Rattus norvegicus: one gene and its partner. The protein of the gene in region 2 binds, or shares a complex with, the protein of the main gene of each other region. Links are inferred from orthologs where the notes say so. Each region holds a gene or a part of one and is shown on either strand. Other genes may lie near its edges.

The links. Proteins that work in one complex are often made in the same cells at the same time.
Region 1: the proteins of Xkr8 (region 2) and Bsg are in contact, whole or in part, in a cryo-EM structure (PDB 7DCE), measured with the Homo sapiens proteins. The link is inferred for Rattus norvegicus from reciprocal best matches to the Homo sapiens genes XKR8 and BSG. Residues at the interface, in NP_060523.2 of Homo sapiens: His232, Leu236, Val239, Leu242, Trp243, Leu246, Gln247, Arg280, Gly283, Arg284, Ile287, Phe291, Ser294, Asp295, Leu298, Ala301, Thr302; in NP_001719.2 of Homo sapiens: Trp326, Pro327, Gly330, Ile331, Glu334, Val335, Leu338, Val339, Ile341, Ile342, Phe343, Tyr345, Glu346, Lys350.

Annotation. Positions count from the first base shown.
Region 1 is NC_086025.1:10,645,529-10,648,035, forward strand, and holds part of Bsg (basigin isoform 1 precursor), read right to left. Parts: exon of another isoform or gene 1,709-2,507; intron 1,563-1,708; coding exon 1,215-1,562; intron 534-1,214; coding exon 377-533; intron 149-376; coding exon 66-148; intron 1-65.
Region 2 is NC_086023.1:150,226,095-150,230,477, forward strand, and holds the start of Xkr8 (XK-related protein 8), read right to left. Parts: upstream 2,932-4,383; 5' UTR 2,206-2,931; coding exon 1,913-2,205; intron 373-1,912; coding exon 176-372; intron 1-175. Other genes in the region: Smpdl3b (acid sphingomyelinase-like phosphodiesterase 3b precursor), read right to left, coding at 2,932-3,297.

The sequences.
Region 1 (2,507 bases), on a different chromosome or scaffold from region 2:
CTGCTCTCAGCTCCAACACCTGCCCCTGGCCTTCACTACAACCACCTCCGCCCCACCCCCATTACCCTCCACATTGATGTTGCCTCTGCCCACAGGCTCAGGAAGGAAGATGCAGGAATATTCTCCAGAGCGGTCATCTGCATCCACCCTGCAGGGAACAGAATGGTAAGGTAAGGAGCTCACAAGGCATGCTATGCTGGCCACCTCCCCACCGAGGCTGGCTCTCTGTGCAGACCACAGGCAGACAGAGCCTTGGGCGCTCTCATGCTCTACAGGTAGGCCACGCAGCCAATCTAGAGCTGTGGGGAGCCTGGCACAGCCACAAATCAGGCCAGAGGCAGTTCCAGACATCAGGCCCTGAGTACCACGAACTCACGTGTACTTCATCTGTAGATCGGGCAGCGTGTCTTCCTGCAGTACCTTGCCACCTCTCATCCAGCGGTGGCCAACGATGTCAATGCCACTGCTGTTCAAAAAGCAGGTAAGCTGTGTCTTGGAGTCAACTTCCTGGACAGAGGTTACGATGGTGCCCGCTGCGGCCACAGGGAGAAAGAGCCATCTTAGCCCAGCTGTCGGCCCCACACCCCCACGCGGTCTGCTTTTGGAATCATAGCAGCTGACAATCTACAGCCCCAGACCTCTAAGGCAAGCTGATGACCCACTATGAGTCAGCTTCCAAGGTAGGAGACCCAGCTGCCCAAGGCCTGCCTGCTGCTCATAGCTCCTCATAGCTCCGTGGTTCAGGGGGAGCACCATCCGCACTTCCCCACATGTTAAAGCCACACGGATGGCTCATGTTCCCTTCACTGGTGTTTGACCATTACTCAGAACTGGAAACGAAACCCCCAGAAAGCTCCGGGGAGGCTGGCTGGAATTTTCATTTGCAGTAGACAGTCACTTGGGCAGCAGACCCCAACCCCACCAGACAAACACTGGGGAGGCTATGAGCCAGGACAGCAGGTGCACAGAGCCGAACAAGGTGGGAGGTCAGGGCGGAAGACAGCGGACCAAAGGCCTGGGATAGGAGCCGAGGAACCACCTACAAGAGGGCAGGGCCAGCCTGCACCCAGCAAAGTGACCGAGACGAGTGCCCAGCCCACCCATGTCCCCAGGTGAGTCTCAATGAAGGGCAGAGCAGCATCTGGTTCTACAGAGTGGGAGCCAGGGTTGGATGGCACGAGAGGTAAACAGAGACAGGTGCCCTGGCCACTCACGTTCAAGGACCACCACGCTCGCCTGGGCACGAACCCACTTGACCCTGGGTGGCCGGGTCAGGTGGTTGCGGTCAGGGTCACTGCTGGCCCGGCATTCATAAGTGCCTGTGTCCTCTGCGGCGAGCCCATCAACAGACAGCGTGCTGGCTGCATGCTGGCGGTAGGTGGCATGGATGTGAACACGGTCCAGCCGGGCGCCATCCCAGAGCTGGGAGCAGCTGTCGTTTGGTTCATTCCCTTCAAACCACCACTGGATCTCCGGCATGGGGCTGCCCACAGCCTCACAGTGCAGGACCACGCTGCCCCCCGCCCACTGCTCCTGGGACATTGGCGCCTTGAGAAAGCCAGCTACAGGAAAGGGTTAGCACCCATTACTACAACTGCTAGGGCCTGCCACAGGCACCAACACAACACAACGAACTCCATTTCTTTTCTGCTTGCAGGGAGAAGTATGAAGTTAGGCACAAAAAACACAAAGGGCTGGGTAAAAATGTTGACCACCAAGCCAGTTCAACCCAAGACCCATGTGGTGAAGGACCTGTGCACAGCTAATGTACGCACGCATACACTAAGTGTGTCTAGAAAATACAGTGGGCGCCATGGCAGCTCGCCTATAATTCCACCACTCAGGAGGCCTATGCATGCAGGAGGATTGCTATGAGTTCCAGCCAGATGGGCTACATGACAAATTAAAATAGGGCCTTCAGCATTACATAAGGGCCTGGGACACTCAGACTTGTATGCCTGCCCCAAACACATGTCCCAGGGGAGGGCAGGTCTTTGCATGCCTACACAAGGCGTGGTTGTTATCTGAAGGTACAAGTATTAAGTTTAGGGCCTCAGGCCCTGCATTGGGGGTGGGGGCTGAGGTAAGCACTTGCCCCAAAGCTTCAGGGGTCTGAATGACACAGCTGCTTCGGTAGAGAATGGTTTCCTGGTAACCTACATTCGAGATCTTCCAGACTGCCCAACCTGCAGTTCCTGGCTGGTGGTAGGCTGTCAGGAGAAGGTCACAGCAGCGCCCTTCCCTCAGTCCCCTTCTCTGTCTACTGCTACAGGACGTCTGAATCAACACCACTTCATCTAGGGCTGTCAGCAAATACAGGTACAGGGCAGCCCCAACTCCAGTGGGGTTTCTGAAGAGACACTACACCATGGGTGTCGTACATCTAGGACAACACCGTCATGTTCCAAGGACCACGAGACTAACATGCCAGGCCACCCATGATCTGGTCTCAGGAATGCAGGCTGCCCTGGCATCTCCTGCTGACCTTTCCACACAGAGCCTCACTA
Region 2 (4,383 bases):
CTGATGGCTTGAGTCACTCATTCTAAGTCCCTGCAGCTTGAAAGGGACTTCAGATTTGAATCCAGACCAACTGCCTAACGCTTAGTCACCCTCTTTTTCTCCTGTGCCCCAAGAGTGAGAACAGCACCGAGAAGAGAAGCAGCAGCAAAAGCGACAGCCCGGGCCCAGCACTCACACTGGTAGTATTCGGCATTTCCACTCTGCAACACGATGGCCAGCACCAGCGTGAGCTGTGGGGTCGCCTCCAAGAAGCTCTCAAAAAGCCGCAGCATGCTGATGTCCAGGGAGAGGAAGTCAGCATAGGCCAGGTCACATTCAGACGGTACCTCCTGGCAGCACATGGACAGTCCCTGCCGCATTCCGTGCAGGCACCTAGGCAGAGCACACAGATGCCCAGTGGACCAGGTCAGCGTTCTGTGAAGTCTTCCCTCTCCTACAGCTGAGTGCATGGAGGCCGACCTCAATCCTAACTTGTCACCTAAAAGCTACGGAACCTGAAGCAAGCCACCCAGCTTACCTCCTGGAACTGTTTCTCCATCCACAAAGTGAGGGAAATTCAACTTCTACTCTTGCTGGTCAGCCATGACGCCAGAGCATCAGCACCCTGCCCTACCTACTCACAAGAGCCCCATTTTAGAGATGGGAGATGGAATTAAGAAGCAAACAGGAGGGCTGGAGAGATGGCTCAGTGGTTAAGAGCACTGACTGCTCTTCCAGAGGTCCTGAGTTCAATTCCCAGCAACACGTAATGGGATCCGATGCCTTCTTCTGGTGAGTCTGAAGACAGCTACAGTGTACTCATATACAAAATAAATAAAAAGAAGAAGAAGAAGAAGAAGAAGAAGAAGAAGAAGAAGAAGAAGAAGAAGAAGAAGAAGAAGAAGAAGAAGAAGAAGCAGCAGCAGCAGCAGCAGCAGCAGCAGCAGCAGCAGCAGCAGCAGCAGCAAACAGGAGAGGCCTGAGAGAGACAGCTTAGCTGTTAATCGCATCCACTGCTCTTTTTTTTTTTAAAGATTTATTTATTATATATGTACACTGTAGCTGTCTTCAGATACACCAGAGGAGGGCATCAGATCTCATTACAGATGGTTGTGAGCCACCATGTGGCTGCTGGAATTTGAACTCAGGGCCTCTGGAAGAGCAGTCAGTGCTCTTAACCACTGAGCCATCTCTCCAGCCCACATCCACTGCTCTTACAGAGGTGCCTCACCTCTAACTCCAAGGGACCCGACACTTTCTCCTCTTGGGGCCTACCTATAATAACCGCCCTTCACAGTCACCTGAGCTGTACTCATGATACAATTGTTCAGGCAAAATGCAAATATTCAAAGGTCCCTTCCCACAGCTAAAGACTCTAGGCAGCTTTGCCAAGATCTGAGACTTGCACAAGATATCCCGGATCCATCCACCCCACTTTACCCAATCCCATCCCTCCTCAGGAAGCCCTGCCTTCATCACATGATTCTGACCCCTTGATTTCACTTTCTCCCATCTAACAACCCAAGGGCCTACTCACAGTGAGGTGGACGGGGACGGGGGGGGGGGGGGGGGGGGCAGGGAGGGGAGGGGCCGGGGACTTTCTCACTGTCCTTACTTCAGACTGAACCTGGGTTCTATCCAGTTCAGAAAAGTACACATTTCACACACATCTTCCAAGAACCAGTCTATCTGTGTCCAGTCCTGACTGGCTCCAGGAACACAGATGAGCCAAGCAGAACCCTCCCATCTTCAGTCCTTGATGGGAAAGCAAATGTTCGCAGAAAAAATAAATGAAAAAGAAAGGGGAGGGGCATCTCTAACTCCAAGACCCCGATGTTCCCTTCCTCTTTCCTGAACCTGTGTTTCACCTACGCCCAGGGGAAAACTGAACTGGCTCTGTCAACCCACTTTTCTCAACCGACCGGGCACTCACCTATACAGGTAGCCGAGCTGCAGCAGGTGCAGCAGAGCCAGGAAACGACGCGAGGGCTGCAACTGGTGCAGCTCGGTGGGGTCAGCTGTCAGCCAGAGCCAGCTGAAGAGCTGCAGCAGCACCGAGGCTTGGCCCAGCAGCACCACTACCAGCGCGGCCCACAGGTAACGGCCAACGAGCACGTACTGGACGACGGCCCACAGGTCGGCGACCAGGTCCAACAGGAAAGACAAGGTACTCACCAGACCTATGACCACGTCTAAGGCCACTTGGGGGTGCACGGACAGAGGCATGGCCCTCCAGGCAACCTCACAACCGCGGATCTGCCCTCCAGCCCGGCTAGTCCGGCAGGAAGGGGGTGGGGCAGTCCTCCCAGAGGCCGGGCTGCTGGGCGGAACTTCCCCATCTCGCCCCGTCCGGGGAGGAGCGAGTCCACGACTCCGCCCCCTAGGCGGTCCCACCGCCCAGACCCCGCCCCCAGCCCTCCCTGTCTTGAGCCCTGCCTCTACTGGTTTGGATTCTGCCTTTTGAGGCTCTAGTTAACAAGAGTGGCCACAAGACTAGTGTCTGGGTCGCAGCTGTGATCCCTCACGGTTGCACTGTTGCGAAACCAAATCAGAAAAGTCTTTTATTTAAAAGTACCAAGGGATTTTGCAGACCACGTGGGTTCCCAGTTTTAGACCTTGAGCAGGGACTCAAAAGCACAGACTCTCCAGGGCCCATCTTCCTGCGGGTTCACTTTACTGTGGCGATCAAGTGCATGATAGTTTGATGTTTGTATTAAAGGGAATAATGCACCAAGACATGTACCGCAAACAAGCTCTGTGGATAAAACATAAAACTCAGAAGAAATGTGCTTCTTAGCGCCCTCTCTGGTGAATCCAAATGTCCCATCCCACCTTACTCTCCACAGACTGATGGCAAAATTCATCTCCCTCTCTCTCCATTGGGTAATGTTGCCCAGTTTTACCAGGGAGAAAGACGAACCAAGTAAGAGGGTAGGCTGGCAGTGCCTACAGTCATAGCACCTCCAATACGTGTAGGCTCGTCAGCAGAGTCAGTATGAGCAGGAAACCAGGTACCAGGTTGGCACCAAGACCATGCAAGCAGGTGGCGTAAGTGTCGAACTCCACGTGCTGTATGGCGCACACATGCTCCCTTCGGCAGACGTCCTCACAGGGCTGATGGCTGTAGCTGACCGAGTTGTAGACGTAATAACGTTGCAGGATGTGCTGCTCACTGGCGATGCGGGTCAGTGCTGTATACATAGAACTGGTGCTGGCGTCCTGCACCTCGTAGGCCTCTGTCAGGCGGTATTCCTGCTCCCACTGCGGGGTCTCTTGTGTATCCGCCTGCCTCAGGTTCAAGTAGTAAGTCACCATGTCCTGGATTAGAGGCCCAGGGCATGTCAGCAATGAGCAGTTGATTAGTTCTGCCTACAACCCAACCTGTCCCCAGGCTCTCTAGATCAATCAGACAGCTGCTCTTTTCACCCTGGGCTTGGTTCTGACGAGGCAACTGCATCTGAACCCCCATTCTCCTGGTGAGGACATGAACCTGAAGTGACCCCCCACAGGCTCATTTTGAAGATTTGTTCCCCAACCGGTAGCACTATTTTGGTTGGCTATTGAACTTTTAGGTGGATGCCAGCTGGCAAAAGGAAACCTTTGAAGCTGGTTCTGGACCCTGCTCAACGGCGATGCCAGGGGTCCCTGATACATGCCACGTGATTCGCCACCATTAACTGCCCTGCCTTCCCCACCAGAATGGAGTGAAATGCCCTAAAAACCGTGATGTTGGTACTGCAATCACAGCATTGCAAATGTAGTTACCTTCTCAGGTAACACACACACCATGCACACACATACACACACATACACACTCACACACACATACACATACACACACATACATACACACATACACACACACTCACACACACACACTCACACACACACACTCACACACACACACACACACACACTCACACACACACACACACACAGTTTTTTTCTCCTGCAAGCATTCAGGGGCAGGGGCAGGATTAATACTTCCTTCCCAAGGGCACCTCTGCGAAACTCCGAGGGACCTCGTTTAGTTCACTCCCCCAACCCATTCCCATCCCCCAGACCAAGCAGGGCATCGTGGCTCATAGCTGTAATCCCGGCACTCAGGAAACTGAGGCAGAGAGGATGTATCAGGACTGGAGAGATGGCTCAGCGGTTAAGAGCACTGACTGCTCTTCCAGAGGTCCTGAGTTCAATTCCCAGCAACCACATGCTCACTCAGTTGACACAGAACTCAAATGCCTCCTTCCTGAGGGCATTTCCCTTGTCCCACCTAGTAACACATCTCACACACTACAAAAATCACCAGCCTCTTCCTTCCTTCCCTCCCTGCAGCCCCAACCCCCCACCTCACCCCCACCCCACCCCACCTTCTGAGACAGGGTCCTCTCGCTAAGTTCCTGT